3 linked regions of the Macaca mulatta genome follow. The protein of the gene in region 1 binds, or shares a complex with, the protein of each later gene. Links are inferred from orthologs where the notes say so. Each region holds a gene or a part of one and is shown in the gene's direction. Other genes may lie near its edges. The genes, in order: KLHL12, PLEKHA4 and PEF1.

What was found.
Region 2: the proteins of KLHL12 (region 1) and PLEKHA4 are in contact, whole or in part, in a crystal structure (PDB 8OIO), measured with the Homo sapiens proteins. The link is inferred for Macaca mulatta from reciprocal best matches to the Homo sapiens genes KLHL12 and PLEKHA4. Residues at the interface, in NP_067646.1 of Homo sapiens: Phe289, Arg320, Glu417, Tyr434, Ile439, Phe481, His486, Cys511, Tyr512, Tyr528, Leu533, Cys558; in NP_065955.2 of Homo sapiens: Pro177, Gly178, Gly179, Pro180.
Region 3: the proteins of KLHL12 (region 1) and PEF1 are in contact, whole or in part, in a crystal structure (PDB 8RBH), measured with the Homo sapiens proteins. The link is inferred for Macaca mulatta from reciprocal best matches to the Homo sapiens genes KLHL12 and PEF1. Residues at the interface, in NP_067646.1 of Homo sapiens: Phe289, Gln293, Arg320, Tyr321, Leu371, Glu417, Tyr434, Ile439, Phe481, His486, Cys511, Tyr512, Tyr528, Leu533, Cys558; in NP_036524.1 of Homo sapiens: Gly15, Gln16, Ala17, Pro18, Gly19, Ala20, Pro21, Pro22.

Annotation. Positions count from the first base shown.
Region 1 is NC_133406.1:60,591,253-60,595,001, reverse strand, and holds the start of KLHL12 (kelch-like protein 12), read left to right. Parts: upstream 1-1,114; 5' UTR 1,115-1,219; exon of another isoform or gene 1,220-1,247; intron 1,248-3,076; exon of another isoform or gene 3,077-3,113; coding exon of another isoform or gene 3,114-3,158; coding exon 3,159-3,353; intron 3,354-3,749. UniProt on the Homo sapiens protein: Substrate-specific adapter of a BCR (BTB-CUL3-RBX1) E3 ubiquitin ligase complex that acts as a negative regulator of Wnt signaling pathway and ER-Golgi transport.
Region 2 is NC_133424.1:61,292,536-61,295,414, reverse strand, and holds the end of PLEKHA4 (pleckstrin homology domain-containing family A member 4), read left to right. Parts: intron 1-248; coding exon 249-307; intron 308-1,003; exon of another isoform or gene 1,004-1,395; coding exon 1,396-1,508; exon of another isoform or gene 1,509-1,902; coding exon 1,903-2,165; 3' UTR 2,166-2,361; downstream 2,362-2,879. UniProt on the Homo sapiens protein: Binds specifically to phosphatidylinositol 3-phosphate (PtdIns3P), but not to other phosphoinositides.
Region 3 is NC_133406.1:209,235,930-209,239,678, forward strand, and holds the start of PEF1 (peflin), read left to right. Parts: upstream 1-1,365; 5' UTR 1,366-1,377; coding exon 1,378-1,401; intron 1,402-3,749. UniProt on the Homo sapiens protein: Calcium-binding protein that acts as an adapter that bridges unrelated proteins or stabilizes weak protein-protein complexes in response to calcium.

The DNA of each region.
Region 1 (3,749 bases):
GAGGTCTGTGGGTCGCAGGGCTCAGAGGATTATCGCCGCAGCGTTGTTCGGCACGAAAAGGCCATTGTGGACAATGGACGTGAAAAAATTTGAGGCCTCTGTGGGTTTTCTCGATGTCAAAAAGTTTCTCAGTACCTGGAAGGTAAAACATACTTGCTGCAATCAGATGCTTGGCATATTAAGCGTTGGAATTCTCTCTGTGTGCCCTGCCTCGTGAGCAGTAGGGAGGAACTCAGGCTCAGACAGTCGCTGAGCTGTAGATACATTCCCAGGCTCCCTGCCGGACCCCACAACATCCGGCCTTTTTTGTTTTTTTCTTTTTTTTTTTTTTTTGGAGACGGCGTTTCAGTCGGTCGCCCAGGCTTGAGTGCAGTGGCGCGATCTCGGCTCACTACAACCTCCGCCTCCTGGGTTCTAGCGATTCTCCTGCCTTAGCCTCCTGAGTAGCTGGGATTACAGACGCGTGCGACAACGCCCGGCTAATGTTTTTTGTATTTTTAGTACAGATGGGGTTTCACCATGTTGGCCAGGCTGGTCTCAAATTCCTGACCTCAAGTAATACACCCGCCTTGGCCTCCCAAAGTGCAGGGATTATAGGCGTGAGCCACCACGCCCGGACTTTTTTTTTTTTTTTTTTCAACAGGGTCTCTGCAGTGGCGACTCTGGCTTACTGCAACCTCTGCGCCTAGCTCAAGTGATCCTCCTGCCTCAGCCTCCCGAGTAGCTGGGACTACAGTCGGGGCCACCACGCCGGGCTAATTTTTTTTTTTTTTTTTTTTTTTTAGAAACGGGGTTTTGCCGTGTTCCCCAGGCGGGTGTGGAACTCCGGAGCTCAGGTAATTCGCTCGCCTCGGCCTGCCAAAGTGCCGGGATTACAGGCGTGAGCCACCATGCCCTGCCCACCAGACCTTTTTCTAATTCGGCTTCCTAGCAACGTGCAGAGGCCCGGCACCAGGGTACAGGCAGGTCACGTGACACCACCTCTTCACGTGACGCAGACTCGAGCGGGAGGAGGGCGGTGCTCCAGCTGCATTGCGTCATCACGTCGCGCGGCCGCAGGGACCAGACCTGGACGGCTCCAGAGCCTCCAGAGCCTCCGGGTGGGGGCGGCGGCGGCGGCTCTTCGGCTCTTCCTGAGCCGCCTGCTGGCCCCGCGCCCCACTCCATCCCCACAGGCTGGGGACGGGCCCGGCGCTGCTGTGTGGGCTCGGGAGCGGAGGTGAGTTGCGCGGAAGTGATGGCAGTCAGCCCTTCCCTTCCTGTCCGTCAACTCCGGGTTATGGCCCTACCCCCCATCCTTGGTCTCCCTGTAAGGCGGAATGGGAGACATGCCGGAGAGAGGAGGAAGGCTGGCGGGGGGGCGGGGCATCTGGCCTCAGTCGCCCTCTCAACTCTCCCCTGAATTGCCCCCCTGCGATACCTCCATCTGGCGGCGCCGGTCATATGCCTGGTGGTATCAGAAGGAAGGAGTTCGTTTCCTTCTCTAGAATGTAGTCTTTCCGGAATTTACTACCCCATTCCTGCCCCGAATCTCCCGAAGTGGAATCCCTCTATTCAGATGTTAACGGAAGTTCTAGAAAATAGGTCACTTCAGAAGGGTGAGGGTGAAGGATATGCTGAGACTTGGAGTGTTGAGGCAGGAATCCCCTAGAAGGAAGGCCACTCTGCACTAGGGGTACTGTCATTTTGGCACGGAAACGATAAAACACCCCCCAGGCTGTCTTCACTGTAAATGGACGTTTGTTCCAGACTCTTTTTGCACCCCTAGAGTTGAAACTAAGTTGACTTAAGTCTTTTTGAAAAACATATGCTTTGATGAATCACCCCCTTTTCTGCAAAATGGGTCATGCAGTTGTTGGAGGGATTATCTATAGTGCTTATAGAGTAAAATGCCAACTATAAACAGAAGTAGATGAGAATTTAGGATCTCATTTTTCCTGTTGAAAAATTACTTGTGAGTTGCGAACTTCTGGAGACCACAGTTTTATTTCCTGCCGTCCCCCTACCCCCGCCCCGCCGGATCGTTTCAGAAAGTTTTGGATTCCAATATTGATTCGTTAACCAGTAATGGACATTTACAGATATAGAGTAGGAATACCCTCTTGTTGAGGAGCTTCAATATCTTAAGCAAGTGTAAGTCCATCGGTAACTTGCGTGGTTTCCACTATTCAGTTAGGGTAATAGGTCAATTGAAGTTTCTTTCTTTCTTTTTTTTTTTTTTTTTTTGAGACAGAGTCTCGCCCTATTGCCAGGCTGGAGTGCGGTGGTGTGATCTCATCTCAATTCAACCTCCACCTCCTGGGTTCAAGCGATTCTCGTGCCTCAGCCTCCTTGGTAGCTAGGATTACAGGCGCGCGTCACCACACCTGGCTATTTTTTGTATTTTTAGTGGAGGCTAGGTTTCACCATGTTGGCCAGGCTGGTGTCAAACTCCTGACCTCAACTGATCCACCCATTTCAGCCTCCTAAAGTGCTGGGATTACAGGCGTGAGCTACTGGGCCTGGCCTGAAGTTTCATTTTAAGAAGAAATCCAGATATAGCTGAAAGTCATCAGACATAATTATTTGGCTACTTCTTTAGAAAAAAGTTTATTTTTACTGACTGGCCTTTCTCTCTCTAAGTTGAAGTTGAATACACACTTATTCTTACATTAAATTGTAAACATTCATTGTGCAACTTCTAGGATAGAAAGCATACATATAAAGCAGGATCCTCAGCCTCTAAATACTTATCTACTTAAGGATATTAAATAGTAATGATATAACACCTTTAAGAAATTGTATATTTTCAATTTGTCATTTGAGACAAGAACCTTGTGAAGATTTACAGGACATATATTGTTTATCTCTACTTACGTTTCAGCATTGATCATAATAAATGTCAAGTGGTAGGGACACTCCGTGGTAGAGGAATTCAGAGAAAGAAGAGAGAACTTTTACATGTACTAGATAGTGGCTAGATAGTGGTGGTGATGCCAGGCATAGGAGTGCCCTCAACTTGTGTCTGTTTGGGTCTGAGGGAAGCCTCTTAGGTTCTTAATTTGTAAAACTAATTAAATATGTTCAGTTTCCCTAGTTCTTTGAATATGCTCATTGTTTTTTTTCTCTTGTAGCTTCAGAATCCAAGGACCCATTTTGTTTTTTCTCCGCACTGCTTTATGGGAGGCATTATGGCCCCCAAAGACATAATGACAAATACTCATGCTAAATCCATCCTCAATTCAATGAACTCCCTCAGGAAGAGCAATACCCTCTGTGATGTGACATTGAGAGTAGAGCAGAAGGATTTCCCTGCCCATCGGATTGTGCTGGCTGCCTGTAGTGATTACTTCTGTGCCATGTTCACTAGTGAGGTAAGTGATAAGTTAGCCCCACACAAATGAAACTCCCGTGGTACTCTAGTTGTCTTATTTCACTGAATAAAATAGTAGAACTTTGATATAATTGTGAATTTTTACAGTGTGATGTTTTGGCAGATTCTGGATAAGATCTACCACTTAGATGACTATGCTTTAGTTTCCTCATCTTTAAGTTAGGAATAACAGTAATATGTAATAACTGGTTATTAAGGTTATTGTGAAGATTATTTTATGAAATAACGTACAAAATGCTTAGAGTAGTTTAATATGCAGTAAAACACAAATGTCAGCTATTGGATTTTACTATTTCTTAAATTTGTTTTCCAATTTTTCTCCTTTTTTTGTTTTTAATTTTATTTATTTATGTATTTATTTGTAGAGACAGGGTCT
Region 2 (2,879 bases), on another chromosome or scaffold:
CTCCTGACCTCGTGATCCGCTTGTCTCAGCCTCCCAAAGTGCTGAGATTACAGGCTTGAGCCACCGCACCTGGCCAATACATTAATTTTTAAAAATTCAGTGCCTACGGAAGCATAGGAAAAACAAAACAAAACATTGCCAGTGTTTTTGGGCAATTTCATTCTCTTTTGGAGCCCCTTCACTTCACCCTCAAAATGAGAATGTGGGGCTTCCAGGTGAGGAGTTCTAATGCCCCAATTCCTTTCCAGCCTGTCGTAGGACACTCGGGAGCCCAGAAATGGCTCAGAAGCTCTGGGTCTTGGAGTAGGTAAGGAACTGGAGGGCGTATCAAGGGAGCAGGAAAAAAAAATTTGCATAAGCAAAGGGGAGTAGCATTATTATTGAAGTCTCCTGAATATGGAACTACAAATCGCAACCCTTCTAGATATGCTTACGTTCCCGGGGCATCTGAAACAAAACCGGAAAGCCCTAGATCCGTAGTGATATCTTTAGTTCCCCAAATTCCCTTGGTCAATAGCATAGCCTGCTTTTGCATCAAGGAAATTGGGTGGTAGTGATTTGCGAATGGACTACAAATCCCATAATGCATGTGGGCGGTATGAGGGCGGTGCCATGTTTAACATCTGTTAGAGACACGTGCTAGGAACTACAACTCCCAGAAGGGCACGCGCGGTACCCGGGTCCCCACTGTGCGAGCTGTTTAGTTTTTATTTTTATTTTTACTTTTGTTTTGTTTTTTTTTTTGTTTGTTTTGTTTGTTTGTTTTTTGAGACGGAGTCTTGCTCTGTCTCCCAGGCTGGAGTGCAATGGTACGATCTCAGTTCACTGCAACTTCCTCCTTCTGGGTTCAAGTGATTCTCCTTCCTCAGCCTCCCTAATAGCTGGGATTACAGGTGCCCATCACCATGTTTGGCTAACTTTTTTGTATTTTTTAGTAGAGACTGGGTTTTCCCATGTTGGCCAGAGTGGTCTCGAACTCCTGACCTCAAGTGATCCACCCACCTTGGCCTCCCCAGGTGCTGGGATTACAGGGATGAGCCATCGCACCTGGACTGTTTTTTTTTTTTAATTTTTAATTTTTGTTGGTACATAGTAGGTGTACATATATTTACGGGATAAATGAGATGTTTTGATACAGGCAGGCAATGTGAAATAAGCACGTCATGAGGAATAGAGTATCCATCCCCTTTCAAGGATTTACCCTTTGATGTATAAACAATCCAATTACACACTTTATTTTAAAATGTACAATTAAATTATTATTGACTATAGTCACTCTGTTGTGCTATCTAATAGTAGGTCTTATTCATCCTTTTCTTTTTGTACCAATTAACCCTCCCCACCTCTCCCCCATGTATGTACACACCCCACCCCCAATCTTCTTTTTTTTTCTAGTCCAAGGAACACCACCCCTTACTTGCCGACTTCCGAAGGTCACCGGGAGCGGGTTCTCAGCCTCTCCCAAGCCCTGGCTACTGAGGCGTCGCAGTGGCACAGAATGATGACAGGTGACTGGCTGGGGATGTTGAACTTCTGGGTTTTAGGGAGGAGAAAGCTGGAGACCTGGAATCCCAGGTCCTGGAGAGGAGGGGTCTAGGGGCCGGTGGGAATTTTTTATGTTGGCGAAGAAAGAGTTGGGCAGAGTTTGGGAGTTTTAGGTCTCAGGCAAGAGTGGACTGGGTTCCGGGACACTTGGGAGGAGGGGAGGAAGAGGTCAGGGGGCGGGGAGAGGACCGACATCTGAGTCTGAAAGAGGTCTGGACTCGGGTGTCCAGACTCCTGGGTCTGAGGGAGGAGGGGCTGGGGGCCTGGACTCTTGGGTCTGAGGGAGGAGGGGCCTGGGAACCCGGAGTCCTGCTGCTGAAGTTTGCCATTCTTATGTCTCCCACTCATCCTCTCTAGGTGGAAATTTGGACTCCCGGGGAGACCCTCTTCCCCGTGTGCCGCTGCCTCCTTCGGACCCCACGCGCCAGGAGACCCCTCCCCCCAGATCTTCCCCGGTGGCTAATTCGGGTTCCACAGGGTTCTCTCGCCGAGGGAGTGGGCGTGGAGGAAGTCCCGCCCCCTGGGGGCCCACGTGGGATGCCGGGATCGCCCCTCCGGTCCTGCCCCAGGACGAGGGGGCGTGGCCTCTGCGAGTCACTCTGCTACAGTCCAGCTTCTAACCCGCCCAAACGTGGCAGCCAATCGGAGCGTGAGCACGTGGTCTGGAGGTACCGCCGGAGATCTGGGACCACTCAGGGCATCAGGGGCGTGGTCTGGTCCCCATCGCCCGCCCGGGAGGGAAATGGTTTCTATGGCCAAAGTTTGATTTTCTCAACACTGTCTAAATTTGGATTAAAACTTTGAACTTTTAGTCAATAGCTTTGTTTCTGTCTGTTTGGGGTTGTTGCACTGGGGTCTCTGAGGGGCAGAGCCGGAGTCGTGCACTCCTGGGTCCTGAGAGAGGAAGGGACAGGGGGCTTGGACTTACAGGTCTCTGGGAGGAAGGGATAGAGAATCTGATCCCTCAGTCTGAGAGTGGAGGGGCCTGGGTCAGGATTCCCGGGTCTGAGGGAGGAGGGGTTGGGACCCTGACTCCTGGGTCTGAGGGAGGAGGGGCTGGGAGGCTGGACTCCTGGGTCTGAGGGAGGAGGGACTGGGGCTCCTGGATTCCTGTGTCTGTGGGAGGAGAGGAGTGTCTGAGGGAGGAGGGGCTGGGGACAAACTTCCAGGTCCCTAGCCTTCCTGGCAACGCCCCCCGAGGCTGGACTTCCACGATCCAGCTTCTATTGAGGATTTGATGCGACGGCCTCACGGGGCTTTGGAGGTGAAAAAGGCCCAGAGTAGAGACACAGAGAGAGAGAGAGAGAGAGAGAGACCGGTGGACACGGATGGCT
Region 3 (3,749 bases), about 150 Mb from region 1:
TACCTACGTGATGGGATGATCTGTGCGACAAACCACCAGGGCACACATTTACCTATGTAACAAACCACATCCTGCATATATACCCCTGATCTTAAAATAAAAGTTGGAAATTTGAAAAAAAAAAAAAACAAAGCTTGCCAAAGGTGATACGGTTAGAAAGTGATAAAACAAAGATCCTCCCTCCAAAGCAGAAGTGCTGAATGGTGGAACTGAGCACAGAAATACAGAGTAGCAGAAGGGGCGGTAAGATTGGAAAGGTGAGGTTGGGCCAGATTCTGAAGGGGCCTGGAGTGCCAGAATGAAGAGACTGGGCCTTATTTTGTAGGCGTGGATGAACAGCATCCGTTGTAGGCTGTGCAATGAGTAAGTGGCATGATCAGCACTGTGATTTTGGAAAGTGCACTTGGTTAGATAGATGGGCTAGGCTGGATAACACTTCGTAATAATCGTGTCAGTCGCTGTACTAGATACTGGAGTTATAATGACAAGCAAAAACAGACAAAACCCTAGCCCACCTGGAAGAACTTGACAAAGTAATCAAATAAGCACACAAATAACTGTACAACCGGAACCACTGAGTGGCAAGTACATGGTGCTGAGATCACTCAGTCACCAGGATTTGACCTGCGATGGGGAACGACCTAGACTTCCCTGCTGAGAACTGGACATCCATTGACCCCGGTTCTAGGCCACCCACTGTGAGCTAGGGCAAGTCAATTGCCTCTCTGGACCTCAGTTTCCCCATTTATGAAGAAAGAGGCACTAGATAATTCAATTTTCCTTCAACTCTAACGGTCTGGGATTTTTTTCTCCAAAGACCACAGATCTGTATCTCACTACAAGGCTACTAACTGGTACCCAGTGTTTTGACATTAGAAAAGCAATTCCGCCATTGCCTCTCCCTACCGGGAAGAGTCGGTGGGTTCCCACCTTGTCAGGGGAACCGCCCGCCCCCCTCCTCTCCTTTCCCGCGGCTCCTCTGCGGAAACTCAGGAGCTACGCCAGCAACTACGTCACTATCATGCGTCCCACTTGCCAGGTTATAACATGGCTACCGCAGCGACATCCCACCCAGGCTTCTCACTAAATATCCCAACCTGACCACCGCTTGGGCCCACTCCAGCTCAGAAAAGGGAGGAACATTAGCGCCGGCACAGCGGCCAAGACTTTCGGAAGCTCCATCAGTCACTTAGCTCCCCTGGTCTCTCGGGTAGGCATCCGCCCACCGCCCGATCGTCACTTCCGTCGGCCGTTGCGCCCAAGATTGACAGGCGCGGACGTCCAGTCAGATGCGGGCCCAGCCCCAAAACCGAGGCGAGGGGCGGGTTTGAGAGCGGAAAGCCCCACCCCTTGCCTGCGTGTGACGTCAGAATCGCCATGGCCAGCTATCCGTACCGGCAGGTGAGTGTGTGAGGGACCCGCGAATCCAGGTAGCGGCCGTACCAAGCGCAGGCCCGGCGCCCCCCTGCTCTTTTCCCCCGCTTTCTCCGCGCCCTTCCCACGATGGGTTCGCTTCAGCGAGGCCTCGCGCTGTAGAGAACCGAAAAGAGACCGTCGGTCGCGCCCGGCTCACGTCATGAAGGACCGCACATTCGCGAGGTCGTGTCGCGTCCCCTTTGACGTCGCTCACGCGAGGATTTGGGGACCTTGGACCCCACAGGTCCAGGCTGGCGCTGGCCTGGGCTCCACAGCCTCCCAAGGCCCCCACGGGGGCCTTGGGCGGGGGCATCAGCCATGACCGGACGTTTAGAGTTCTGGTTCCGTCGATCTAGTTTGGGGCGTCGGATAAAAATCCAGGCTTCCAGACCCACCCCACACTGCATCAGAGTCATCAGGAAACTTTGGTCGTAGCAGGCGCCACAAGTGAGCTGGTTTGACCACTGACTTAGTTCAGCACCGCCATTTCGCATGTAGAAAAGTGAACCCCGAGAAGACACAGAACTTACCTGAAGTCACCAGGCAGTTAGGCAGCAGGGCCGAGGTCAGAACCCGGGCTGCCTTCAGATTCCTCTTCCCCAGCGTATATTCAGTGAGGAATACCACAGCAAGGTGATTCTGTGGCCAGAATTGTTTGTTGGGTGATAGTAGGGTGTTGAAGTGCACTTTGGAGTCAGAGGTAGGTTCATACCTTAGCTCTACTACCTAAATAGTTGTGAGCCCTTGAGCAAGATGTTTTGCCTTTCTGAGTCCAAGTATCCTGTAAAATAGGGCCGAATAATAGGATCTGCCTCATAAAGCTATTGTGGAGAGTCAGGAGGTGATGCTTACGAAGCGTTTGGTACATAGTGAGGTGTAACAAGTGTTGCCCTTTAGCATTTTGATTTTTACTAGACTTCTAAAAGGCCAGTGCCCGGAGGGTCCTCAAAATAGACCCCTCATTTTACAGAGGAGGAAATGAAGCCCACAGAGGCCTGCGATCGCACAGTTATTTAGGAGATGAAACCCGTGCGGGAAATTTGGGATAACAAGGTCAACTGGTATATTACACAGTGCTCAGCTGAGTATAGTCACATGCCAAAAGATGTAACAGCCCTTCCAAAGAGTGCAGTCTTGTACGGGTTACACAGTATTCGGACCTCCATTATCCTAATCACGAAGGCTCTATCGGCAAGCAGGTATTATTACCCCTAATTAACTGCTAAGGAACAAACCCAAAGAGGTTAAGTGGCTTCCCAAAAGTCACATGTAGTAAGTGAGGGTGAGGCCATGACCAGAGCTTAGGACTTCTCTTATTGCATCCGTAGAGAGAGGTAGGAAAGAGGCCACTGCAGGCTGGAGTTAGGAGAAAGTGTAACATAGCAGTTGTTTCCTAAAGTCCGTTCCGTTTGCTGAGTCTTGTGAGGTGTTAATAGATATTGTTAATATAGTAGGATTCTGTAGTTAACTAAAGTTTTGGAAATACTCTTCTTTAAGTATAGCTGAATAAGTTTGTTGACCACAAACAATTTCAAAATTCTTAATTTGCTAATGTACATGGTAAATCTTCCAGAAAGGAATATAATATGCAGTATTTCTTAAACACATTTAACCATAGAAACTCCCCCTTCCCTCTTTCTTTTCAGATGTCTGGTCACTTTTTGTGACTCTAGTATTTCTGAGCAACACAGGCTGAGAAAACATTCATAGTGCCTTGTTTCCCAATGGCTGGTCTTCTGCCACAGAATCACCTGAGAGCTTGTTTAAGAAAGCACGCTTTCGGGTCCCGCTTCAGACCTGTTCTGTACCCAGGAATCTACATACTAATAAGCATTAGGGACAATTTGTGTGCATCCTAAAAACAGTGACAGGTTAGACAGAACTGTGCTAGAATTCTAGCTGTGTTAATAGTTATATACCCTTGGACAAACTAAGGGCTCTAAGCCTCTGCTTCCTCACCTGTTATATAAAGGGAGAAATAATACCTGTGAAAAGGGCTAAAATGAGGTTGAAATGCAGGGAGCCTGGCACGTTGCTAGTGCCTAGTACATGCCAGTGTCTGGTGGCAGCTCTTGCTGCTGTGACTGCTCTCATGATGCTATGCTGCCTGGGCTATTCTTGGAGTGAAATACTGAAAAGGAGCACAGAGAGAGGAGTCTGGAATAGAAAAAGAAATGTTGCTTTTTTTCCTACCATACCCTTGTCCGCCTCCTGGTCTCAGGTGTTCTAAGAAAGGAAACCGGTTGTTTTAGAGCATCTCAGTCAGTGCTGCCTCCCCTCCACCCACTACATAGCTTTGGAGGATTCCAGCCTATTGTTAGGAGTCAGAATTC